7 linked regions of the Mus musculus genome follow. The protein of the gene in region 5 purifies or fractionates together with the protein of the main gene of each other region. This does not show direct contact. Links are inferred from orthologs where the notes say so. Each region holds a gene or a part of one and is shown on either strand. Other genes may lie near its edges.

Evidence for each region.
Region 1: the proteins of Vapa (region 5) and Pitpnm3 purify together in Homo sapiens (co-immunoprecipitation; 3 studies listed by BioGRID and IntAct, with this or other methods). This does not show direct contact. The link is inferred for Mus musculus from reciprocal best matches to the Homo sapiens genes VAPA and PITPNM3.
Region 2: the proteins of Vapa (region 5) and Rab3gap1 purify together in Homo sapiens (affinity purification with mass spectrometry; 4 studies listed by BioGRID and IntAct, counting the BioPlex papers as one, with this or other methods). This does not show direct contact. The link is inferred for Mus musculus from reciprocal best matches to the Homo sapiens genes VAPA and RAB3GAP1.
Region 3: the proteins of Vapa (region 5) and Ttc1 purify together in Homo sapiens (affinity purification with mass spectrometry; 5 studies listed by BioGRID and IntAct, counting the BioPlex papers as one, with this or other methods). This does not show direct contact. The link is inferred for Mus musculus from reciprocal best matches to the Homo sapiens genes VAPA and TTC1.
Region 4: the proteins of Vapa (region 5) and Prkar1a purify together in Homo sapiens (affinity purification with mass spectrometry; 3 studies listed by BioGRID and IntAct, with this or other methods). This does not show direct contact. The link is inferred for Mus musculus from reciprocal best matches to the Homo sapiens genes VAPA and PRKAR1A.
Region 6: the proteins of Vapa (region 5) and Fam83g purify together in Homo sapiens (co-immunoprecipitation; 3 studies listed by BioGRID and IntAct, counting the BioPlex papers as one, with this or other methods). This does not show direct contact. The link is inferred for Mus musculus from reciprocal best matches to the Homo sapiens genes VAPA and FAM83G.
Region 7: the proteins of Vapa (region 5) and Rassf1 purify together in Homo sapiens (co-immunoprecipitation; 3 studies listed by BioGRID and IntAct, counting the BioPlex papers as one, with this or other methods). This does not show direct contact. The link is inferred for Mus musculus from reciprocal best matches to the Homo sapiens genes VAPA and RASSF1.

Annotation. Positions count from the first base shown.
Region 1 is NC_000077.6:72,133,090-72,137,045, forward strand, and holds the start of Pitpnm3 (membrane-associated phosphatidylinositol transfer protein 3), read right to left. Parts: upstream 2,801-3,956; 5' UTR 2,587-2,800; coding exon 2,565-2,586; intron 1-2,564. UniProt on the Homo sapiens protein: Catalyzes the transfer of phosphatidylinositol and phosphatidylcholine between membranes (in vitro). Binds calcium ions.
Region 2 is NC_000067.6:127,927,773-127,931,272, reverse strand, and holds part of Rab3gap1 (rab3 GTPase-activating protein catalytic subunit), read right to left. Parts: intron 3,325-3,500; coding exon 3,152-3,324; intron 884-3,151; coding exon 829-883; intron 567-828; coding exon 195-566; intron 1-194. UniProt on the Homo sapiens protein: Catalytic subunit of the Rab3 GTPase-activating (Rab3GAP) complex composed of RAB3GAP1 and RAB3GAP2, which has GTPase-activating protein (GAP) activity towards various Rab3 subfamily members (RAB3A, RAB3B, RAB3C and RAB3D), RAB5A and RAB43, and guanine nucleotide exchange factor (GEF) activity towards RAB18.
Region 3 is NC_000077.6:43,734,509-43,738,008, forward strand, and holds part of Ttc1 (tetratricopeptide repeat protein 1), read right to left. Parts: coding exon 3,359-3,500; intron 1,966-3,358; coding exon 1,911-1,965; intron 1-1,910.
Region 4 is NC_000077.6:109,664,449-109,667,948, forward strand, and holds part of Prkar1a (cAMP-dependent protein kinase type I-alpha regulatory subunit), read left to right. Parts: intron 1-310; coding exon 311-371; intron 372-1,416; coding exon 1,417-1,538; intron 1,539-2,195; coding exon 2,196-2,277; intron 2,278-2,981; coding exon 2,982-3,154; 3' UTR 3,155-3,500. UniProt on the Homo sapiens protein: Regulatory subunit of the cAMP-dependent protein kinases involved in cAMP signaling in cells.
Region 5 is NC_000083.6:65,593,056-65,596,555, forward strand, and holds part of Vapa (vesicle-associated membrane protein-associated protein A), read right to left. Parts: intron 2,000-3,500; coding exon 1,847-1,999; intron 489-1,846; coding exon 385-488; intron 1-384. UniProt on the Homo sapiens protein: Endoplasmic reticulum (ER)-anchored protein that mediates the formation of contact sites between the ER and endosomes via interaction with FFAT motif-containing proteins such as STARD3 or WDR44.
Region 6 is NC_000077.6:61,683,000-61,687,209, reverse strand, and holds the start of Fam83g (protein FAM83G), read right to left. Parts: upstream 2,801-4,210; 5' UTR 2,677-2,800; coding exon 2,155-2,676; intron 1-2,154. UniProt on the Homo sapiens protein: Substrate for type I BMP receptor kinase involved in regulation of some target genes of the BMP signaling pathway. Also regulates the expression of several non-BMP target genes, suggesting a role in other signaling pathways.
Region 7 is NC_000075.6:107,554,555-107,558,054, reverse strand, and holds part of Rassf1 (ras association domain-containing protein 1), read right to left. Parts: intron 3,473-3,500; exon of another isoform or gene 3,277-3,472; coding exon of another isoform or gene 3,130-3,276; intron 603-3,129; coding exon 498-602; intron 286-497; coding exon 1-285. UniProt on the Homo sapiens protein: Potential tumor suppressor. Required for death receptor-dependent apoptosis. Mediates activation of STK3/MST2 and STK4/MST1 during Fas-induced apoptosis by preventing their dephosphorylation.

The sequences.
Region 1 (3,956 bases), on a different chromosome or scaffold from region 5:
CTTGAAGGCTGGTAATAATCAAGTTGGATCCACTCTCTGCAAATGAATCTCATCCTGTCTGGGATCTGATTACATTTTCTCTTGTGCCTGGATTCTCCGAGCTACATGAAAGTCCTTGAACTGCCTTCCTGGCACAGCTGCTGTAGCCTTGGCTGGCTGCTCAGGATGTTCATCGTGCCGCTCCAGCACCACCATTCACCACCACGACGTGATGGTGGAACTGTAGAGTATACAGCCTGGCATCGGTTACAACAGCGCCAGGACCCAAAGCCCATCTCCTCCTTAAGTAGCCGGACCACTGGCCGGTTTTCAGAGGAAATCCCACACAAATCAGGAAGCAGACCCCCTCACTCGCAGGCAAGATTTCCTACAACCTCCCTTTAGTCTCCTCTCACCTCTCAGGGTGGAGGGCTGATCCTTCTGCCTTTTAGTCTGTGTATGGTACTGAATTGCCATCTTTCTCTCTTGGGCCTCAGTTTCCTCAGCTATGAATAGAAGAACTTGGCCTTGAATTATATATAAGCTATATAATTCAAGGTAAATGTGCTTGATGAGAGAGGCCAGGCATTCCTCCATACTCTGCATCCTTAAGTCACTGGGTTTAAGGTAGCTAAAGAAAAGAAGGGATATTTGCAGGCTGCCACGTTGCCCAGGAGAGTTGAGAAGCGTGGTCAGATCTTGCCAGAGGTCATCTGCAGAGCTCCTTGGGGTGGCAGCTGAGTAAGAGACAGAGAGGCACCAGGCAGGTGGTCACAGAGGAGGGAAGTCTGGCTTGCTCTGAGGGAAAGGACTGAGACTGTGAAATGGAAAAGTTGTAGAGCAGCCCCAGGCAGCAGTCTTGGGAGGCCTGGCCATTTCTTCACCTTCTGCAGGGCACTCTCCCCATGGATCTCAGCTAGGGACCAAAAGACCCACAATCCAATTCATAGGACCTGGGGCTGCCCTTCTCCCAGAATGAGGAGGGGAGTAGAAAGATTCCTTAGCATCCAAAAAAACAAAAGCAAAACAAAACAAAACCAAAAAAAACCTTGGTCTTGCATCCAGGCTCACCTAGACCCTCCCAGCCATCTTCAGGGAGCTATTTGCTTCCAAGGGCTTTAAAAGGGGAGTACCTTCCTACTTCTCAGAATCATGGGGCAGTAAAGGGCTTAAGTATGTTACCTGGTACACAGGTCAAGAAGAGATTTCTCTAACTACTCTTGCTACTGTGGTGCCCTGGCAAGAGACCTGGATCCGGACGTCCAGACCTGTGCTCACACATGAGCACATGTAGAATGGGTAGCAGAGACGCATGCTCTTCCTTTATGAAGAGCAGGGGTGGGGAGGGACCAAGGCAGGAGAAAGAAGGGAGCAGAGAGCCTTTTCCAGCCTCCTGGTGTCATCTCACTGTGCCTCCCTCGGGAGGGGAGGGGAGGGAAGTGGGAAAGGGGGTGTTTAGATGCATTTGCTTATGCTGTCTCACACAAACAGCCTCTCCCTCACAGGATTCCTCTGCCACACCTGAGTCACAAGGCCAGTCCATGCCAAGGATTGGGACCTGTCCCAGGGTCGCAGGCAGTTCAATGGCACTCACATCTAGAGTGCGGGCAGGTGGTCATGTTCATTCCATCTTTGCCATGCCTATGGGTGGAGAAGTGGGGTTCACACCAGGCCCCACGGGGATGGCATGGCACCTGCCAACGTCACAGGCTGGGAGTGAGTTCATGGCAGATTCTCACACGCCAGAGCTCCCAAGCTCAGGACTGTTGAGACCAGCCTCATCCATTTGTGGCCAGCCCTATGAACACTGGCTTTCCTCAACTTGGCCTTTTAGGGCACTGTAGGGGTCCAGGGCACAGAGTGGGGAGTCCGGGGCTAAACCTGGTCCCCTCCAGGTCCTAACCAACTCACAGGGCCTGACATCAGAGCAGATGCTGGTGAATGAACGCCTGACTGGATGAATGAAGGGACGACTAACACCTACTCCCTGGGATCCTTGGGCTACAGCTCTGAGCTTGCAGGAGAGCCGAGCCCATGGGACCCCAACAGAGGCCCCGCCTGCCTAGCCCGGCACCTGAGGCTCTGCCTCTGGGTCAGGTGGGAGGCGGGGAGGCTCCCCAGCCATAGTGTACCCCTCCAGCGACGGGACCAGTAATCTGGGTCTCTTAACCCAGCTGGTGGCAGGGGCGGGGGACTGTCGCATCCAAGATAGAGAGTGACAGGACAAGGGGGCGCGTCCTGGTTTGTTGGGGCGTGGGATGGATCAGCGACCGCGGGACATCCCCTTTGGGTTCCGGTGCCGGGGTCTACTCCCCCGGTCTCCCGGAGGGCAGCGACAGCTCCGAACTGCCGACTGGACTGAGGAGCCGTGGACCTGACCCAGTGCAGCGGGGCAAGCGGGATGCGGTGTCCCACGAGGTGACTGGGGGCGCGGGAAGGACGCAGGGCGCGCGGAGCCCCTTATGCACGCCCCGGGGTCCGGGCGGGTCGCCGCGGTCACTGTGCCTCCGCCCACCTGGTTGGGGGGCTCACCTGGGCCGAGCGATCCCTCCCGCCACCCGCCGAGCGCCCCGCGCCGCGCTCACCTGCGCTGCCCGCCTTGGCCATGTCCCGGGCGGCGGGCTCCGCTGTGCTGCCGGCGCTGCTCGCTCCCGGCCGGGCCCCGGCGCCTTCGGCCGGAGCGGACTCTCCGGGCGCCGCGCCCCGCGCCCCCGCCCCGCTCGCTCGGCCGCCTCCACCGCAACCGCCGCCGCCTCGCCGCTCCCTCCCGCTCCCTTAAAGGAGCCGAGCGGCGACCGCGCCGCCCCCCCTCCGCGCCGCCGGGGAGGGACTGACGACGGAAGGCGCCCGACACCGCCCCCGCGGGCCCGCACCCCCGCCCGGAGCCGCGCGGCCACCGCAGCGCGCGGGAGGCGCAGCCCACTGATTGCGGCCACTGAGACCCCGACCCTCGCTGAAAGACAGACGTAGACAGACTCCGGATTACAGCTCGGAGACGCTGCGGGCCAGGCAGGGATGAAGACATGGACTGCGAGCCTGGGGCGCAGTGACCCTGAGACAAGGCACCAGAAAGAGGCGCTCCTAGGGCAGAAACACCCTTGGGAGAGAGAGAAATTCAAGGAAATCGGAGCTGGCTAGAGTCTGTGAGGACAGGGAGAGCAAGGAAGACCAGGACCCAGGAGACTGAGAAACCTAGAACGAAGTCTCGCAGAGATGAGAGGGGACTTCTCCATCAGCTCCCAACTCCAGGGATGCTGGATGCCTGCATCTGCTCTAGTCTCAAGAGAGGAAAGCTTTTGTCCTTTAGCACTAAAGGATCCGTTAAACCTGCAAACCCCACCTGCCAGTAAACGCTAAGCAGAGTTTGTGGGGAGCCTGGCAGAAAGCAGTGTGTCCCCCTAACACTTTCTCACAGAAGTGCTGACATTCTAATTAGCGGGCCTCCTGAGACATTTAAATTGTGGTTTCTGCCCACTGCAGTCAGGGGATCCACAGGAGATGGTCAGTCGTTTTAGATGGGGCCTAGAAGGTAGGGTCCTGGAGAGAGCAGTCGGCTCCCTAGCTCAGTTCCAGGCGAGGCCACTTCCTCCCTGCTGACGGTTAGGGTGAGGGCTAGGCTCCTTAGAGGACTGTTGGGCCTTCCCTGAAGCCTGTTTTTCTCCCACAGTCTGCAGCCAAGCACCCACACTGGGCACTAGACAGTTCCACCCCTAGGCCAGCCAGGACTTAAGTGCCCCATCCACTGCCCCATAGAAACAAAGCACACAAGGGGCCTCTACGGGACACACCCATTTCTGGGCTTTGACTCCTTCAGCCTATCCAGGTTAATCAGCCTTACACTCCCTCTTTAGTCTATCAAAGGCTCAGCCTCAGGCAAGAGTCTTCCCGAAACTTTTGCACAGAGCTAGCAGCAACAAAGTTCTTCACCTCAGCGAAAGGAAGTCTGTATCGCCTACTCATGGACCTCTCCCTGCTTT
Region 2 (3,500 bases), on a different chromosome or scaffold from region 5:
AATCACCTTATATAAGGTCAATACCATCTACTAAGGCTTCAAACGATTATGCAATTTCAGACTGGCAGAACTGAAAGTTCCAAACCTAATCAAAGACTTTAAATAATCTCTCCTACCAAAAGCAATCATCTCCTCTAGGAAGGACCTAATCAACAACAAAAGGCAGCTGAGTTTGCAAGCCTTGGTGCACCTACCTGGGTCACTGGAATGTAGAGAGGCTCTCCATTATGCAGCAGGGTAAGTTTCCCGTGCTGGTGCAGGCGGCCTTCTGGCTTTAAGTTTGCCATCTCCTTGGGACCGCCTTTCTTACCACTCTCCTGTCCGTTTCCTTTAAGGTCTTCCGTATCACTGAGGCATTCAAAAAACTCTTCTTCACTATCACTCCAGGAATCCCAGGACTTCCCTACTTCTCCCTTTTCCTTCTCTGTATCTCTGAGATGGTCCAGGCCCAGCTGGCCTCCAGTTTTCCCAGCATCCCCTGGATATGCACTAGTCGTACTATCCGAGAGGCTCGTCTTTTTCCCTTCATCACGTGCTTTCTTCCTTTCAATACAACAATTTAACATCTGAAGAAAACAGAAATAGCATTTATGGTTGAACTAGAGTACAGCAATATGTATCAATTGCTTCAGTATTTCTTTCTACTTTACCAAGACAGATTACAGGGATTATAAGCAACCCATAAGCAGCCCAAAGAAAGTAGCCTATATAAGTCATTCCTACACTTAAGTGTTAGATTAAGCGTCAGGTTTTGCATATATATATATATATATATATATATGTAAATGATGTAAATGTGTGTGCACTCATGCTATGGAAAACCGTTACCTGTAGTTTCTGATGCAGTAAGCAGCATCTTAGATCTGGTGATCCACTTGCTAGTCTACCAAATAGGAAAAGAAAGCTTAAGTTTTAGTAAAATTATATCACGTAAGCCTACTTACACATTGTCAATTTTTTTTTTTTTTTTTAAGACAGGGAACTGATTTATTTATTTATTATATGTAAGTACACTGTAGCTGTCCTCAGACACTCCAGAAGAGGGAGTCAGATCTCGTTACGGATGGTTGTGAGCCACCATGTGGTTGCTGGGATTTGAACTCTGGACCTTCAGAAGAGCAGTCGGGTGCTCTTACCCACTGAGCCATCTCTCCAGCCCCATTGTCAATTTTTTAAACTATATTGTTAAGAAACCAAAACTAGATTTCCATACTTAAGAAAGCCAGGTTCCAGATTATGATTAAAAGTTCAAAATTATTTTATCCTATCTCACAATCGTCATCAAATATAAAAACCATGTGATATATAAGGGCAAACTCATAACAGCTTCCAAGCTAGTTAGAAACCTGAGTCTAAACTCACCACAGGAAGTAACTAGTGTACAGCACTTTGCATATCACACAAACAAAACTCATATGTACATAGGTAGATTCTCATTAAACAAACCAAGGTCTGTCTCTACATCGCCTTTGCCAGTGAGATCCTGGACTCCCTTTGGTTCTAAATCACTAAATTCCTCCACTCAGTGTGCTTCTGTATGCCAATAAGTTCCAGAGCAAAACAGTAACAGCCAAGAGAGAATCCAGATAAACAGAGACTGGCAAAACATCCTAACACAAAACACTTTCAGGTCAGTGGCCATTAAACTAGTCATATCATCCTCTCCTTAGAATGGGTAGACAACCACTAGCCTACTAGCAGTAATTGGCATGTATGCATAGTTAAGAGTTTATGCAATCAGTAAAATGTCAATATAAAAAGGTTCTAGATTGGGGCTGGAGAGATGGCTCAGCGGTTAAGAGCACTGACTGATCTTCCAGAGGTCCTGAGTTCAATTTCCAGCAACTATACGGTAACTTACAATCATCTGTATTGGGATCTGATGCCCTCTTCTGGTGTGTCTGAAGACAGTGTATTCACATAAAATGAAATAAATAAATCTTTTTTAAAAAAGAGATTCTAGATTATATTTAATGCCTGAAATTATAGAGTACTTTAAAGGTATTTTTCTTCAAATAGAAGTATATGCATAGATAATTTAAGAAATACAAAGATGAAACAAATAAACAAACAAAAATGTACTTTCATACCTGGGAAAACTATTACCACTTGACTGTATTTCTCTCCAATCTTTTTTCTATACCTACATATCAGCATAATTGAAAGCATTCTGTGCTGTATTACAACACCTAGTTACTAATACAGTTTCTATGACTTAATCTTGTTTGTTTGCTGAGACAGGGTTTAACTATGTAGTTCTGGCTGGCCTGGAGCTTCCTATGCAGAGCTCAATGCACAAGAGATCTGCCTGCCTCTGCCTCTGCCTCTGCCTCTCTGCGTCCGCCTCTGCCTCTCTGCGCCTCTGCCTCTCTGAGCCTCTGCCTCTGCCTCTTGCCTCTGCCTCTTGTCTCTGCCTCTGCCTCTGCCTCTTGCCTCTGCCTCTTGCCTCTGCCTCTTGCCTCTGCCTCTGCCTCTGACTCTTGCCTCTGCCTCTTGCCTCTGCCTCTGCCTCTTGCCTCTGCCTCTGCCTCTCTGTGCCTCTGCCTCTCTCTCTCTGCCTCTCTCTCTGCCTCTCTCTCTCTGCCTCTCTGCCTCTCTCTCTGCCTCTCTGCGCCTCTGCCTCTGCCTCTCTCTCTCTGCCTCTCTCTCTCTGCCTCTCTCTCTCTGCCTCTCTGTGCCTCTGCCTCTGCCTCTCTCTCTCTCTCTCTGCCTCTCTCTCTCTCTGCCTCTCTGCGCCTCTGCCTCTCTGCGCCTCTCTGTGCCTCTGCCTCTGCCTCTTGACTCCTGAGTGATGGGAATAAAAACATCTGCCACCATGCCCAACACGCACAGTTTCTACATTAAGGTTCTTGAGGTATGCACCTGTAGCTCAGTGGCAGAGCACTTGCCTGGAATACATGAGGCCCTGGGTTCATGTCTCAATACCCCACCTCAAACAAAGCAATAAGCGACTCTAGAAGAAAGCTTTACAGTCATGCAGCACAATGTTGACATTTAGGTTGTCTGGCCTTTTCTTCCATTAGAAATGTACTGCACTGAACACCTGAGTAAAGATGGATACATATTTCTTACAAAGAATTCCTGAAAGAAGTCAGATATTTGGTGATAAAAAAAAAATCCTAGCTAAACAACTGGAAATTAAAATTATTACCCTGGAATCAGAAAGTTGTTTTCCCATCTGAAACGCATTTCAAGAACAAATTCCTGCCAGAGATGTGCCACTCCCTTCAGCCCTCCATGGTAGAAGTTGATCATACAAAGACACAAGGCCAGTTTGTATGTTAGACTGTCGGAAGGCGCAGACTTGAACTGATTGTAGAGAGTCTAAATTTTACAAAAGAAAAACAAAGCAAAACCTGTTAACAGCAAATTTGCATACTTAAAGAGTACATAAGAAGAATCTTCCATCAAAATAAACCCATCAGAATCTGCTGCAAGACAAACTTAAGAATTTGACAAGAACTCTAAACTACGAGGATCCAACAGCTATGTATACGATT
Region 3 (3,500 bases), on a different chromosome or scaffold from region 5:
ACTTTAAAAAATTAGGTCATTTTGGTTTGAGATTAGGGCAACATTTCCCAATGGCACTAAACATACTCCTGCCACTGTGTAGAATGTATTTATGTCAGGTGTCAAACTCAGCACTGATAATCCTAAAACCGTACTATCGAGCCACTCTGAAAACAACGACTATGCTTAACGTCCCGCGGCGGCAATGCTTCAGCCTAGTTTTGTTTCTCTATGGAAAATGCATTTCTCATTATCATTACACAAATTTGCTCTTACATTGAAGACAGGCTAAATTATGTTAAAGAATTACCATTTTTAGAGATTACCTTTATTTTACATGTATGTGTGAGTGTATGTGCATGAGGAGCCCAAAGAGGTCACAGAAGCATTGGACCCTCTGAAGATAGAATTACAGGTGGCTGTTAGTTGCCATGTAGGTTCTGGGAGCCAAAAGCTCTTTGCAAGATCAATAAATGTTCTTAACTACTGAGCCATCTCTCTTGCCCCTTAAATAGTTATTTCAAATAAAGCTTATGATTTGTTATCAATGAATGTTTGAGATACACACACACACACACACACACACACACATACACGCATAACTGTATGCATAGGATCATGTAAAAATTTTGTGGGCAAAAAGATGTTAAGAGTAAAAAAAGTCCATTAATTCATCTACCGGAATGATCTACTGGGAAGTCTACGCACACTCTCTAGATACTGTTATTAAACTACATATGGCTAAACTAATGTACTCTATGCTCATTTTCTTGTAGGTCTATGCCCTTGCAATGCACATCAAAGATTTAGAATGTATTCATCTAAAAAATGGAAATAGATAAATTTTAAAAAGAGGGCTGGAGAGATGGCTCAGCGGTTAAGAGCACTGGCTGCTCTTCCAGAGGCTGCTTGCAACTGTCTGTAACTCCAGTTCCTGGGGATCTGTCACTATCACACAGACATATATGCAGGGAAAATACCAAGGCACCAATTAAAAAAAAAAAAAAAGAAAAGAAATACATTTTAGAATGTATTCATCAGGAAGGTGCAGCAGCTTCAGAGCAGGGTCGTATGAGAAAGGTTAGACAGACAATGCAATGTCCTTAGTAAAGCAGGAATCAAGAGGCTCGGATTCCAACTACGAAACGTTCTGGCAACTCTAAGAGAATCCATGCCCCAAATGCCCCTCCTACCCCTGGCCCATTTTGTGGGCATGTGCATTGGTGTGCAGAGGTCAACACTGGGTACCCTCTATTCCTGTCTCTCCCTGAACCTGGAACTTTCCAATCCAGTGAGAGTAGCAGACCACAGAGGTCAAGGGGTCCTCCTGTCTCTGTGTCCCCACTGCCAGGGTTACAGATGTATTCCACCCTGCCTATTTTAAACATGGGTTGTGAACTCCGGTCCTCTGAGGAATTGCCTCAGCGTCCGGCCCTTATGTTTACTCCACACACTTTTCATGTCTTTCCAATCACTAATGTGATTTTTAGTGCTATTTCCAACCCCAAACTCACTTTATTCTGACATTACTGGCTCTAATGACTCCAGATTATATAAACATAAAACCTTAAGCGTTGATTACGCAATGGAAAGACTCAACTGGGCTTTGAGATTATCAGGTGAAAGCCAAGGTAGAACTCTGGGTCCTGAAAACGCTGATCCCTCTCTAAGCCAACTGTGCTTCCTGAAATTAAAAATCAGCCGAGCCAAGCAGGCTTTGTCCCGCTATAGCACTGCTGCAAAGCAGCAGTCTCAACAACACACACACACACACACACACACACACACACCCCAGTCTAAACAATACACACTCATGCACACACCTCAGAGACTCTGAACCGCTCTTCTCTAAGCAAATGAAAGCAGTTATGGTTCTACCCTAGTCTCCTAGCTGTTATGATCAAGAGAGAAAGTCATGGAAGCAAACTTACCTAACATCTCCTCTTTTAACCTTTCATTACGTTCTTCAATTTGCTTAGGTAATCTCTGAGGAAAAAAGTAGAAACAAGCATTTGGTAAGAAATTCTTACTAAATCTGACAAGATTCTCAGTTCTCTTAAAAAAAAAAAAAAAATAACGGTTTATTTTTTTCTTTTTCTGTGTGTCTGTGCCAGAAGAGTGTGTGGGAGCCACTGGCTGGAGTTGTGAGTGGTTGTAAACCACCTGAGTGGGTTCTGGCAACTGAGCTGGGTCCTATGGAAGAGTAGGGAGTACTCATAACCAGTCATTTCTCTAACGCTCAGTTCTTTTGTGTGTCTCTGTGTTTATGTGGTGATCAGAAAATAACTTTCTGGGGTCGGACTTTTTCCTGTCATCATGTGGGCTCTAGGAACTGAACTTAGGGCATCAGACTTGGCAGCAAGCCTTGACCTGCTGAGCTGCCCCATCACATTCTCAGGCGGAAACAATGTCCAGATCAAAGGCAGACCTTAGGACAAGTTTGTGACTGAGTCAGTTGTGGTGCACACAGCTGTAATCCACGTACTTGTGAGACACACGCAGAAGGACGACTGAGAGCTGGAGGCCAGTCTGCTTAAGTGGAGAGTTACTAGCCAGTCAGGCTCAGTCTCAAAAACCCCAAACTAAGGGGCTTGGGCAAGATGATGATGAGTTTGAGGTCAACTTGGGCTAGAATGAGACACGATCTTAAACAAATAGACAAAGACCACAAATAGATCACAAAAGGGTAGATCATAATCACCCATCAATTTCATTTCTAGGGATCTGATGCTTTCCTCCAACCTCCATAGGCACCAAGCACTATGTGGCTCACAGATATACTTGCAAGCGAAATACTCATACACATAAAATAAGATAAAATTCTAGTAGACTCACTAAACTGTGTAACTATAGCGAACAAAATAACCCCGATGTAAAAAGAAACGCTTACACAGCTTATTTATTTAATTAACTTCGGGGGATAGGTCTTTCTTTCTATATAGTCCAGCTGGTTTCAAAATCAGGTTTCTTTCCCCTCCAGTTCTGGGATTACAGGAGTGTGCTGTCATGCTGGCTCATATATGTGGAGATCAAATGGTACATAGTCCCAGTGAGTAAGTAGCCATCACAAAGACCTATCTCTCATTTATTCTGGTAATCATAAAAATAGAATTTAGTTGTAACTGGGAAGACTAAAGATCTACTAAGTACAAAGCAAAAGAAACGGGAAATACTTCTGATTTTTTTTTTTTTTTTTTTTTTTTTTTTTTTTTGGAGACAGGGTCTCCATTCTATAGCTCTGGCTGTCCTGGAACTTGTCATATAAAGCAGGCAGGGTTTGACCTCACAGAGATGCACCTGTCTCTGCCTCCTAAGTGCTAGGATTAAGGACATGCATCACTACCCCCAGCCCGAGACGATACTTTAAAATCTGTTTTACCATACAAGCTTCTCTTGCTTGATGTACTGATGGATCTTTTTCTAATACTGATTTATAATCTTCCAGTGCTTCATCTAGTTTGTCTGTTTTCTCATATAATTCAGCTCTCCTCAGTATTGCACGGATATAGGTGGGGTTTAAC
Region 4 (3,500 bases), on a different chromosome or scaffold from region 5:
GAGGTCTCAGTGGCAGTCGTTTGTTAGCCACTTGGGTGCCGTGAGAGAACTGCTTGGCATTTCGCTCCTTGTTAGAGCCGTGCCCCTCCGTGGGCTGCGTGCCTGCCCCTGCTTTAGGAGCCTCGCAGTGAGCTTTGTACAGAGTGCAGGGCTCACACTTAGTACAGAGAAAATGGGTCAGAGTCGAGAAGCAGGAGCAGACGCCTTCCTGCTTACTTTTCTTTTAGTTTGTTTAAAATGTAAACATAAATTGTTGAGCAACATTGTGTGATAATCACATCTCTTTTGGACATAACTTTTTTATTTATAGGGAAGCACTCTGCGAAAGAGGAAGATGTATGAAGAATTCCTTAGTAAAGTGTCTATTTTAGGTGAGTTGGAGAATTATATGGAGAATTGATAAACTCGAGCATTTGTGGTACTTGCACAGATTTTTACATACGTCTTGTAGTTCATGTGTGTTTTCAATTTCAAATTTTTACTGTTTTCGCTTTTGCTAATCATGATCATACAGCATTTTGACAGTGTTGAAAGTTTGGTAAAGTAAATGGTAATTTTTTAAACCTCCATAATGAGGTGTGGAAAAGCTTCGTGACTGCGTAGATGCTGCCCTTTCCTTTTACAGGAGTGTCTATGCTCTGGATAGTCACAGCTGCTGCTACTGCAGCTTGTGCTGCTGTTCCTAGGATTCCTAGGAATGGCTTCTGATGGGTTTTGTCTGAGCAGTTATATGTCTTTGGTGGCCTCTTTTGAAAAGATCCACGCCTGTTGGAATTTAAAAGTGAGCTTGTCAATTGACATATCTCTATAGATTCCTTACATTAACTGGAGATGTTCCAACCTGCCCTGTGTGGTGAGCGGGTAGGTGACAGTCTGCCTTTGCTTCGTTGCAGACTTTCTCACCTCACTTGTCATTTGTTTTAGTGTTCAGAATATTAGTTGGGTCTTTGGAAACAAAAGGTATTTTCTAGCTCCTTGTCATTCACAAGGTAAACTCAGCTGAGCCGTTATATGGATAAAGCTACTTTGAACCTTTGCAATGGTGTGCATGGGGAAGCTGTTTTCTTTAGTTACGTGAAGGTTTGCCTCGCTTGATGGTAATGTTGAGAATTGCATTTTCTTAGCACTTTTATAAAAGCTAACACAGTAAAAGGAAGGCTCTGAGGGCCGTCTGCAGAAGTAGGCGAGTCCTGCTGAGGCTTGGAGCCACTGAGGACAGCTGCTGTGGCTGGCCTTCATGTGCTGAGGACACATGTGCTGTGGCTGCCTTCACCCGGGGCTTTTCCTGGGATGTGCAGTGGGGACTCTAGTTGGTAGCATCTTTGTAGAGTTTGGTTTTGCTCAACTTTTATTTTTTTACTTTATTTTTTAGCAATAGCAGATATATAGAGAATTCTTTTGATTCTTCTATTTCAGAGTCTCTGGACAAGTGGGAGCGTCTCACAGTAGCCGATGCATTGGAGCCTGTCCAGTTTGAAGATGGACAGAAGATCGTGGTGCAAGGAGAGCCGGGGGATGAGTTCTTCATCATTTTAGAGGTAGAGAGCTCTGCGAGTGACTCCTTACCATGCGTCACCTAAAGGAGGGGCAGCCAGTTCTGATTTGTAGCTTTAGTTTTATTTAGTCGTTATCTTTTACTTCAGAATACAGCTTGCTGTGTATAGTCTGCTACAGTTTTAAAGAATTAGAGTCAGAATCCTGCAAGGGCCCTAGACATGATTGGTGAGATGGCTCTCTACTACACTAAAAAGCCCCTCAGCCATAACAGATACGGTGATTCTGAGCCAAAGTGCTTAGGCTAGTTAGTAATGATTGACAATTCTAAAAGTCACTGTTACTGAAACATCTCCCTATCATCCTGCTTGCCAAGCAGGTCCAGATGGCAGCTTCAGAGTCTGAACTCTTGTCGCACTGCAGATGCAGCCATGGAGATGTGAGCCCTGAGTGTGATAGTCTTTAAAATCTTATTTCCAAAGATGCAGCAGGCTTGAGCTTGACCCTTTACGTAAACTTTACTCACCGGAGTCTGAACTCCTTTGTAAGTGCCTGAGCTTGATACGAGCCTTGATAGCGGGGTGGATGCTGGTTCAGTGGAAGTCAGCGTTGAAATAACTGCTCAGTTCACTCAGGAACCGGCGATTGCACAGTATGTGTTAGGACCGTGTGTTTAGCTTCTTGCGTTGGTGTGATTACAGGGCACAGCTGCTGTGCTGCAGCGTCGGTCAGAAAACGAAGAATTTGTTGAAGTGGGACGACTGGGGCCTTCTGATTATTTTGGTATGTTAAATTTCTTCATAAATACATGGTTTAAGGATCTGTGGGACAGTGTAGTTTCCCATAATTAGTTTTGTTTTCTTTCCTTTACTTAGTTCTGGGGCAGAGTGTGGCCTGGAACTCACTCTGTAGACCAGGCTGCCCACAAACTCAGAGACCCACCTGTCTCCATTTCTAGAGTGATGGGATTGAATGTAGGCACCCCCACACCCTGCCTTTATTGTTTTTGAGACAGGGTCTTTGGTAACAGTGCAGACCGGCCTTCTTAGATCTGCCTTAGTTAGCCTCCTAAGTGTTGGGGTTATAGTCATGATACCTGGTAGATTTCTTAACCTATACTCTTTCTTGTTTCTCAGAGAAGTACTGTAACATTAACTTTATTCAGTTAATAGATGAGCACAGACCAAGCATGCATGCGCACACGCACTTGCGCTTATGTCCTACATAGCCTCGACTGCCTGGACTTCATTGTACAGTGAAGCTTGTTCTAACTGGTCACCTTCCTGCCTCTGGCTCATGAGTGTTGGTTTGTAGGCATGACTGTAGGGGCTGTGTTATCTATTTGCTAGTAATACTTTTTAATGTACAAATGTTGTGTGGCCTCTACTAAGTTAGTAGGGAAGTTGCATCTTTGTTCACTTGCTCAGGAGTGGACCCTTTAAGGAAATAGCTTCCATAGGTGATAGTCGTTACTGTCTCTTTTCCAGGTGAAATTGCCCTGCTGATGAATCGTCCTCGGGCTGCCACTGTGGTTGCCCGGGGCCCTTTGAAGTGCGTTAAGTTGGACCGGCCTCGGTTTGAACGCGTCCTTGGCCCGTGCTCAGACATCCTCAAGCGGAACATCCAGCAGTACAACAGCTTCGTGTCCCTGTCCGTCTGACCCGCGCCTCCTGTGCCTCCTCCCCAGTCCATGCTTCACTCACGCAGACTGCTTTCTCTCCCTAGCCGCAGCGCCCAGTGGCCACTGCTTCACAGCTTCTTGTCTCTTTATACTAAAAGTTGCTTTATTGCACCATTTTTCATTGGGAGCGTTATTAAATGCTCATTCACAAATAAATAGAGAGTTGTATGGACTTGGCTGTCACCGCTTCTCTGTGCAGTGCTCGTGTTCAACCTGGGCAGCAAGTGCCGCGCTTTTTGCTGAGGGCGGTCCCTGCACCACTGAATTACCGTAATGATGTAATAGCTGTGCAGGGCTTTTAAGTGACACAGGTTTCCATTTCCAT
Region 5 (3,500 bases):
ATAAAACAATGTGATGAAAAACGTGACAACAGCATCAGCAAGCAATCCACACGACTGTCTTCTCCACTTTAGCATGTCTAAATGGTTTCTAAAGAACAGTATTTCAGGCATGGTGAGTGGAGCACACCTTCAATCCCAGCAATGGAAGAGGCAGAGGCAAGAGGATCTCTGTAGGTTCAAAGCCAGCCTGGTCTACAAAGTTCCAGAACAAGCCGAATCATGCCTTGGAAAAAAATATATATCAAAAAACAAAACCTTTTAATTGTTTAAATTTTAATTTTGTTCTGATATTTAATTTTTGGCAAGGAAATATGGATTGTTGAGAGCTAAACAAAGTTTAAACTACATTTCCAAAAATAACTTCTGTACAACTTCTACACTTACCACAGCTTCCATATCTGAAATGTTTGGTGGAGCAAAAATTGTCTGTACCATGAACTTATGTTTACTCTTTTCATTCGGATCATAATCAAAGGGTTGCAGCATTACTAAATAAACAGAGAAAGCACACTGTCATCTACAGTTTACGTCCTATTTAATACCACCACACTAACACACAAACTTAATGCATACCAAGATGGGTTCAAAAACTTAAATTATCCTCAAGAGGCACAAGCAGCCTTTTAACTTTCAATTATTATTAAATTCATTTTGTGTTGATTTTAATTTAGATAACTTAGACACTTTTAATATAACTTATTTTTAAACTGGATTTTAAACAATTACTCAGAATGTGTTCATTTGTTTAAATCTAATTTTAAGAAAACAAAGGATAACTGATTGGTCTTTAGACTTTATTCCCAGATCCCAATAGCATTCACTTTTACGTCTCCAGACCTGAGTTGCCTGTACCAAGTTTTAAGGCTCCAGTTCAATTTATGTTACGTAAATCCAAGATGAGGTGATAAACAAATCAGTAATTACTAATGTATATTGGATACATTTACAGTCAGGTTCTACTTCTAAACAGTCTCACTGAGCCTTAAATAACTTACTATTTTAATATTCTATAAACTTGAAAATAAAAGCTGTAGTTATCTTAAAATTTAGGGATCACCTAAGTTATCAGGTCACCAAGAATTTTAATACACACATTTCTAACTCCATGATCTGTAATGACATAATCCATTTTTCCTGAGCCTTTTGTAATTAACAAATGCAGGAGTTGAAAGCTATTGTTTTTTTTGTTTTGTTTTTTTTTAAAAAAAAAAAAAAAGGAGTAAGTCTGTGTGAGCACAGAGAGGTTTTCCCACAAGTTAAAGTCTCATGGAGCCACACATGCTGTCAGACCTGCCACCTATGGCACGTGTTACAAAGTACTGTCTCCTTGGAAAGGCTGTCTAAGAAAGGAACATTTGGATAGCACAGTAGATCTCACAGCAGGAATACGTGATGTGTATGGAAGGAACTACTGTAAGCAATAAACAAGGAACAAGACACTGTTGTCATTTACACTGAAAGGAATAAAAACTCATCTGATTTTAAAAGTAGGCCCAAAACAGGCATTTTTTTTTTAAGACTCAAACGCTTCTGTAGATGCACAGAACATGATTTAATCACAAAACAGTGCCATTTCAAAGATAAATAAGAACACAAGCTACAGTGGAAAGCTGTGGAAATACAGAATAGATAACATTTCAAATTGACCCTAGGCAATCATACACTCCCACGTAAGTCTCGAGGAGGAAAGGTTCAATAAAATGTCTGTACGGTAAGATACCCAAGGAACATCTTTACACAAACACTGAAGCCAAATAATAAACAGATAAAAACACTAAACATCAAATGCAACAGTCATGAAATGTCAATATTCAAACCTACAAAGGTCTAGGACATGGAGTACTACCTGAAACAGTCACAATTGACCCCGGGTCAATAATCCCACTGTTGGGCCGCACACAGTACCGGCGAGGTGCTGTAGTCTTCACTTTGAAACACACTTTTCTATCCGATGGATTTTGCAATTTAAGATTTGTAGTGACTACATCTGTGAAGGGGCCTGAAAGGTAAGGGGCAGACAGAGAAAAGATTAACTGGAGTCACAACAAAAGCATAATTCAAGATTAAGTTAATATAATCTCAATCCCACTTTTCTAAAGAAAACAAAAATTGTCTCTCTTTTTTTTCAACTTTTGATGATTTCATCCATAAAATAACTATGATTTTTGTTCTTTAATTTTGGTTACATTTATCATGTTTGTGTTGCACATATGAACATGTACATGTCACAGTACGTATGTGGAGATCAGAAGACAACTTTTTACAACTGGTGCCCTCCTTTCGTTATGTGGGGTCCAAAAATCCAACTCCAGTCCTCAGGCTTAGCAACAAGGATCTCCATCCAATGAGCCATCTTGTCAGCCAAACTGTACTCATATAGCATGTTCATAACACATCACATGACTGACACAAGTCCCCCAGTGGTCTTCACCAGTGCTAATCTTTACGTTCACAGGCCAACTACAAAACTAAAACCTGACAGTACTCACTTGTCTCAATTCATTCATGCACGTGTATTAAGTACTTATGAGTGGTATGTCATATGCTCTATCTAAATACGAAGTCTTGTCTTAAAGCTTTAATTCTGTACTCAACAAAACGAATTCAAAAAGCTGACCCAGCTCTACTTAACCAGTATATCCTCAGTTTTTTGTTTTGTTTTTAAAACGGGCTGTGAGATGTGAAGATAAACTTATTTGGTTTCATCTGAAAAGCCAAAACAGATTATACAGTCTAAGTTTCACAGCAAGAATTTCTTGTTGATTTTGAAGGCATTTTAATTGTTTTAATGGTCTTGTAATGGTTTTCTTGTTTAATGGTTTTAAATGGCCTTTTAAACATCTATTTTATGCTTTTGCTTTTTATTTGTCAAAGGAGTGATATTGATGATCTTAACTAGAGCACTAAGAAGACTACTGGAGCATGGCTACAGTCCCACATTCAACCACCAGCACCAAAAAGGGAGGGAAAAGTCAAGAAGCCTGAAGGAAAAGACATTATAAAAGCCTTCCTATTTTTATCTAGCCTTTTTCATTCCCTTATTTGTCACTTAGACTGTATGTCTACATGCACAGCATCATCAGGATCAATGCTTTCCTACCATGTGGGTTCAAGGGATTGAACTATTTTCAAGCTTGGCTGCAAGCTCCCTGAACCAGAGTCACCTTCTAACCTGTTTGAGTCATAAACAAAGACTATGTTTTTTAAAACTTTGCAACAGTCATACTTTGAAATCTAGATTTAGAAAATTCACCAACCATGTACAATAAACTTTGAGTGTTGGTAAACTGTCTGAGACAAAGACTTTTTAAAGACAGACTAAATGTGCCTAATGCCTAACATGAGAAAAAAAACAATTTCACAAAAGTGGGAAAATTTAAAACTTAGTTCAAGCCTTGAGAAATAAGCTTTTACTTGGAGTGCCTGTTTCATTTTATGCCACTCCTTTCTTCTGTAGGCGATCTTATACTCTTTGCTGCTACCCAATTGTTGGTTTCTGA
Region 6 (4,210 bases), on a different chromosome or scaffold from region 5:
CATGGGGTAAAAAGGGGAGGTGGGCGAGAAGGGCAAGAGGTGACTCATGGTGAGAGAGAAGACAGAAGAGCTCCTACAGGGAGGAGCAAGGAGAGGGCGGGCAAATCGCTCTGTCAGCATCCACCGGCGTCTGGGCCTGCCCCAGGAGGCTGGGAAGCAGTAGCGAGGAGTAAAGACTCAAGCCACCTAGGTCAGCTGCTCCTCCCAGGTCCTGCTTGTCACTGCTACCAGGTACCACAACGCCTGGGTAGATCCCAGAGTGCAACAGGTCTAAGTGACCTTGGGCAGGGACAACTAATGAGTCTGGTCTCAGTTTCTCCATGTGAAAAAAAGAGGCAGATAACACTACCTGAGATTATAAAGTGTTCATACTCCACCAAAGCTATTATTACAGCCTTCCCACGTACTGTGTGGGCCATAAGACAAAGATCGGGGAACAGGGACTCACACAGGTCCACAGGGGAGGGGCTTGGCCCAAGACAGCATGGTGGGGGTGTAAACAAACTCTTGATCTCTGTAAATGGACATGCCCTCTGTCAATTGAGGTTCCTATGGGACTCCCTGCTGTGGGGTACAGGCGCCAGGTGTAGGTAGCAGAGGGCAATGCCTCTACACGATAGGCAGTCAGAAGTCACCCACTCTGGTGCCACACACACAGATGGGGCTCACACTAAGATCAATGTCTTTCTGTCACTGTAGACAGGTGCCATCAATAACAAACCTGGGGGAGTGGAATTGGGTGCAAACGAAGCTATGGGTCTGCAAGGAGTGGCTACATCACAGCTGTGGGCACAATGATGTAGACAGGAAGCCCTAAGGGTACAACTTGGCCCCAGGCACCCCTATCTGTCCTTATCATTGACTGGCCCTATGTCATTCTGTCTGCAGAAGATTAGAGCCTGTAGCTGTTCCCAGGCCAAGCTGGAAAGTGGACGTGGCCTCCTTCCTGCTGTAAGAGCACTGGCACAGCAGGTTGGGCCCCATTCAGTCTTTCTCCCTCCTCTCAAGGGACTGGGCTCTGCCACAGTGGGAGTCACCCCTGGCCCTTTTTAGGGGCAACAGACTCCCAACTATTCTCAGGTGTCCAGAGTATTATTCAGTCCTTCCTCCTTCCTGCCACCCAATACCCTACCATCACAATGGCTAGAGATGCAAAGTGTACCTACAGACTAGAAACCCTCAGTTAGTGGCCCCATGGACAGAGCCTCGACTCTGGGGGAAAGCTGAGCCACCTCAGCTACTGACCCACTTTTGGTCTCTGCCCAAGAGCTCCCCAGGCCCTGTCAGCCAGATCAGTCCCCAGGGTAGACACCTGGCCTTGTACACTGACTGCCTCATTCTGGACCCGGACAGTGAAGGGGTCAGACCCAGGTAGGAACACTCTCACTACCACCTGAAGACAGACCTGCTCTAGATATATCGCAACTTGCTGGGCTACCTTGCCTGTCAAATCAGGCACACCTCTGCTCATTCATGGCCACCCAGCTATGGTTTGACTGTCTGTACAAGCATTGTACACAGCTTCTCAAGATGTGTGTGTGTCAGTATGGAGCAGTCACCCAAAGCCGGGCACTGTGCAGCCCAGTCAACGGCTGTCAGCTAAGGGAATCCACACAAGGCCTGAAGAGCCTCTTGATGGCAAACCACAACCTAAGTAAATACCCTCACCTCTTCCACTGGTGAAAACCTTCAATAGGTACCACCTGCTCTGGCCTGGACAGCTGCTGCTACTGTAGCACTCAGAGAAAAGCTTGGAGAACCACCACCAGCCACACAGCACAGCTAGGAAGCAGGCAGATTTCCTCAGGGCTCCAGACCAGCCTCCACGTCTCTCCCGAGACCCCTGCCAGCAAGCTCATGTATGTGTGCAAGCTTCTATCTGCTCCTGGGTCTGAGACGAGATAAGGGAGAGTGGGTGAGAGAAAGGCCGCATTCCTCCCACACAGCTCATGGTTTGCATTTGGGGAACTCAGAAACACTCCAGGAGGGCACAGAAGCCCACTCAGCCTGGAAGCCCAGTGCCACCTGCTAGAGGGAGTGGACATTCAGCTTCTGATCACCGGAGGAGGCAACCGAGAGGCCAGTCAGAGGTCCAGGGGCTGTCTCGGTGCCCATGCGTGCTGGGTGAATGGGGGTCTCGCCGTGGCGCCTCACCTTCTGCGCCTGGCTGACCATCTTGCGCACCACTTCCTTGATGTGCGGCTGCCCGTCGATGGGTGGCTGCATGTAGACGCTGGCCCGGGTCACACCTCGGTAGGCAATGGTGTCAGGCCAGCCCAGGTCCAGCTGCGGGATGGAGCGGTCCGACTTCTGGGGCCAATACTCCAGCGAGGGCAGCGTCTCCGTGGCTGGGGGCCCGCCCGCCGCACTGGTCTCCTCGCTGGCATCCGCGCCTCCGTTGTCCTGGGGTTCGGGGCGGCGGCCCGAGACCCGCGGGTCCTCAGAGCCCGGGTCGTACACCTCGATGGCCTCCACGATACGCGAAAGCTCCAGCTCCGAAAGAAAGTCGCGGATGTTCTCGCGCTTCAGCACCTCGTAGAAGGCGTCGCGACCCCGGGCCACCAGGGCCTCCAGGGCCAGCCTCTGCTCCTCGCTGTAGAAGAACTCGGGCTTCGACTCGCTGGATCGCCAGTTCACGTGGTTGTCGTCCAGACACTGCACCTGGGAGAAGGCCATGGTGGCCCTCGCTGTGGGAACGCGGCCCGACGGGCACCGCGCTCTCAGGCTCCGGGGCCTCGGCGCCTCTGAGAACCGCACCTGAGGGAATCAGCAAAAGACCGCGGTCGGGGTCAGAGGGCGGGCGGGGGCGTGGCGAAGGAAGGGGCGTGGCGGGTAGTGTGTGGGCGGAGCGAGGCGTGGCGAGGTTAGCCAGAGCCGTCCAGGGCCGCGGTTGTCCTCTGCCTCTGTCTTGGGATCCGCCTGAGGTTCTCGGAATCCTGGGAATAAGCTGGGGCTGACGGGGACCCTCGCCCCAGTCCGGAGTAAGAGCCGGGACGCCAGCCCAAGTGAGGCTCGCAAACCCGGAGGAGGGACTTGCTTACCAAGCAGGTGGCGCCGTGCAGACCGGACGACCCGAGGAACCACAGGCGTTGGTGGTGGCACCGGGCTGGACCGCCGGTGACTAAGGGCGGTCCCGCCCACCCTGCCACCCTCACCTGGGGTCACGTGCGGCCCCGGGGGCGGAGCCGGAAGCTGATTCATCTCCTCAGACGGCGCAAGGCTGGACAATTTGCTGCCTCTAAGCCTCGTGGAAGTCTTCCTCTGCCCCCCAGTCCCGCTGGCGATCCTGGTCCATCTCTGGCCCGGTTCTGTCTTGCGGGTGGGATGCTCAGCTGTCCAGTTGTAGACTGAAGGTTGGGTCGTGGGCCGAGGCCCAGCTCCAGCTCCAACTGCTTCCACACTCTTGCTCTCCATGTGCACAGACCAGATACAGATTAGTCCTGAGCCCAACTGCTTGCTGGGATCCCACCTAGCAGAACCTGGTGCACCTCACATGCCTGAACCCTGCGCCAGAAAAGGGTAGAGAGAACCAAGCTGTGCTCAAACGCAGCTCTTGGCTGTTCCCCAGTGATGGAGACCATTAGGTCCTTATCTGAGGGCAGGATGTCAGGTGCAGTTTGGCAAAGGGCTCCTTCCTGAAGCTTCTTGTTTCAGGACACCAGGCCAATACTGCCCTGTCTTTCTAGCCTACTTACCATCTCTGGGTCAGGATAGAGCTGGTTTGAGTCCCAGTGGACCCTGGCCTTAACCTAATGAGGACAAGCTAATGGCAACATTGTACCCTCCAGACATGTCCTCACTGTTCATTTTCCAGTAAGGCCTCCTTGCCCTGCATTCACTGCTTTCAAAGCTTCAAAGCCTAGTTAGCATCCTTGGAGTCCTCACCACTGATCCCCAGACTCAAACCCTTCACCTCTAGCCTCAAAGTCCTCATCAGGCCTTACACTGGGTGAACACTGTGGTTCATACCTGCTCTTGCTTGGCACTCTTGCCCACCTCGGGCACCTGAGTCACCTCCTTACCTCCCATTCCCAAGGAGCAGAGAGGGGCAGTGATGAGTGTGAGTCTTGTACCCTCAACAAAGATGTGCTGACCCTCAGTTTATTCTCTTGTTCTTACCACTGTGGAGTTCCCGGCTTCATTAAGGAACCTGGCCCTCTGGCTGGAAGGCTCATCTGCTCCACTCAAGTCACAAGAAGCTGTAAAGAGT
Region 7 (3,500 bases), on a different chromosome or scaffold from region 5:
TTCAGTTCGCTCAAAGAGTGCAAACTTGCGAGGATCATCTACGACCATGAATTTTCGAAGCAGGGCCTCAATGACCTCACGTGCCCGTGTTCGTGATAGAACATGCAGATGCTTAATAGCATCCTTAGGCAAGTAAAAAGAGGTGCGGCGCTTCACGGCTGTGCTCCGCCCCGTACCTCTCCGGGCGTCCTGTAAGGAAGGTGGTTTCTTGCTGGAAGGCACTGAAACAGGACGCACTAGTTTCAGCTGAACCTTGATGAAGCCTGTGTAGGAGCCATCCTTATTCTGAAAAGAAAGAAAGGAAAAGGAGAACCATGCCATGTCAGGAAGTTCTACTGGAGATGGAAGAGTTAGGTTGAGTCGTCCAGGGGCAGGGTAAAGCCAGGTCTGCACAGATAGCTGCTTGGGTACACCCCAGAATACTTTGCTCTGACTCTCTGGACATCTGGCCCAGAGCTGGGCTTCTGTTCTCCCACATTCCTGAACAGCCAACTCACCAGGCTCATGAAGAGGTTGCTGTTGATCTGGCCATTGTAGTCCTTGATTTTCTGCTCAGTCTCAGCTTGAGAAAGATCGGGTGTCTCCCGCTCTACAGCCTCATCCTGAAAGACAGGCCAGCATAGATACAGGGCCCTTGAAAAGGCCAAGGCTCTTTGGTGGGTGGGGTGGGGATGGGGATGGTCCTTCTGGCTTGGAACTTGATTTTGGTCCTGTCACCAAACCCATACATCCTGAAGCCATCATTGCTCCTGGTTTTACATGCTATAGATGGAGAGAGCAAGGACAGGTAGAATCCGTTTGGCTTTCTGCTATCTGGGGCCACCTCAGCACTGGTTGTGGCCCCTAACGACATCACAGAAACAGATAAATGAAGGCACATGTCCAGGGGCCAGGAAACCATGAAGGACTGTAAGGGAAAAATCTTGTTTAAAGTATAAACACTTTGGGGGATAAAATGTAGCTCAGTGATAGAGTAATTTCCCAGAATGTACAAGGCCCTTTGATTTCCACCCCCACCACATACAAAAATTAAAACCACAACACAATCACATCTCCACTGTAGAGCTGAACCCAGAACACTAGTTTGGTCAGTTTGTTCTGGAGAAGAAAGCCCACTCTCCCACAGTGCAGCAGCACAGAACATGACCCGAGAGAGGGTAGGCAGCACGGGAGCTGGTGCACCAGCAGTCTAACTACAGTAGACAGGAGAGGAAAGCTGATCTCTGTAATGTAAGATGCCTTAGTGGGTTTCTTGGGACCAGCCACACCACATCTTATATAGTGAAGTAACACTGGGACATACCATTTACCCCCCGACTCAAGCTACATAGAAGGCAGCTTCAATCCAGGTTCTCATCTGCCAGAGGTGTACAGGCAATTTCCCAGCAGAGCCTGTCCTACCAGCAGCAAGCAGGGAGGCTGCTGTTCTTCCCCCTCGCTGTCTGAAGACTTAGCCCAGAGACAAGGTTCTTCAGGAACTGCGGGAGGGTGGAGTCACCCTGCTGCTCAGGGCAGCCAGGACTCACTTGACCTAACTGCCTGAGTCTTACTTCCTGGTTTGGTTTTGTTTTTTAAGATTTATTTACTTATTTTATATATGTGTGAATACACTGTAGCTGTTTTCTGATGCATCAGAAGAGGGCATCAGATCCTATTACAGATGGTTGTGAGCCACCATGTGGTTCCTGGGAATTGAACTCAGGACCTCTGGAAGAGCAGTCAGTCCTCAACTCCCAGTGTGAGTCTTACTTCCTGTTGGTTTCAGAAAGGCCCTAAATTGGAATGCAATTGGAACAAACACAGCTGGGATCACCGCTAGGCAGTGCCTGGTCCCAGGAGAATTCTAGGAGGGTCTGGGTTGGGGATTGAACCTGCAGCCCAGCCCCAGCCCTCAGGCTTTTACTCTGCTCTTTGGGACTTCTTAGCTTCCTTTTCTTCTTTCTTATTTTTTGGTTCCTTAATGGTTGGAAGTCAGGCCATCCATCACACATATAATGCTAAGCACTCTACAGCTAAGTCAGCTATAAACTTCAGCTGCTTTTAAACAATTCTTCTCTTTGTATGCCTTTCAACTGGCCAGTATCTTATATTTTCCCCCACCTCTCCATAATAGAAGATGACTCAGGTTGAGTGGTATGGAGACAATCCCAGAGACACCCTCCCGCCCCCACTCCCACCCCACATTGAGTCTAAAGTCTGGACTAAGGTTTTGGAGGTGTCAAGTAGCAGTCCACCTGTAGGAAATTTATATCAAATCTCACCTACAGCATCACAGACAATTCCACTTTCTTGGCTCAAATAAGGAGTTCTAGTTCAGTGCTACTAAGTTTTCTAACCTCAGTCTCCGTCCTCACTTTCCTGATTCGCTGGCCTCTGTGCTGTTCCGAGGGATTCCCGCTCCAGAACAAGTTATCCGAGCTTGGTGGCCACAACTATGATATTCCCAGAAAGTCGGATAATTTGGGCACATCTAGACTTTTTAAAGAGGTTCAGCTGCCCTGGTACCACACTTTTTTTTTTTTAATAGTCTTTTAAGGCCCTCTTCCTGAATTCCCCAAATCCCTCTGCACAGTTCCACCATGGAGGAAAGAAAGATCGAGTCCAGCAGCTGGTGTCAAAGAGTTGGTCGAGCAACGGCTGGGCACTTTGCTGGCTGATCCAAGACCGCATCACGGCACGGCCAGAGTCCCCTCCCAAACTAACTTCTCACTTCCCGGTGGACTCCTCCTCCACTTCCTCATTTCCCCCAGGGAGGGAGTGGGAGCGCCCAAATGCGAAATCAAGACGCCGGTTTGGATTGCGAGTCTGGCTTTAGTCATGGGTGAAAAACGCCCGCCTGTGGTCCACCCTTCAAGCTTCAGAGTTGCTTCCCCCTGGCTCAACCGGTCTGTGACTGCAAGGGCAGGGTAGCCTGGGTCCTCAGTACCATCGCGCTGGAACTGGGCTTCTACTCGGGACAGAGAACCCTACGTACGCTTCCTCGCTTTTGTCAGGACCCTCCGAGTGGCTCGCTATGGAGAGGCGGGGAGGCTGCCCATCACCTAACTTTCCAGGCCGCAACTTACCGGGGAGGGGCGGGGTTCCAGCGACCGCCCCTCACCCGCCGGCGGCACCCCCCGGGCTCCCCACCTGGTCCCGACGCGGCCTGCGGACCAGCGAGGTACGCGCCGTGAAGTACTGCTCGAGCTCCGAGTCCGAGTCCTCCTGGCTGCAGTAGCCACTGCTGGTTGTGCTGCTCCAGGTCATTTCGAAGGAAGGTGTTTCAGCCTCGCCCATCGCCTTACCCGCCCGATCCCTAGTCCACTGCGTGGAGAGCCTCTAACCACCGCCTCGGGCGCGTGCGTGCGTGCGTGCGTGTGAGTGTGTCAGGTCGCGCTTGCGCGGAGGCCAGCGCCGCGCGGCAACCGTTAGGACTGAAACGTAGACAGCCCGACTTTAGCTCTGGTGTCGAGGGGGGTGAGGGGGTGAAGACGTCGAGGGGCGGGGCCACGACGCTACAG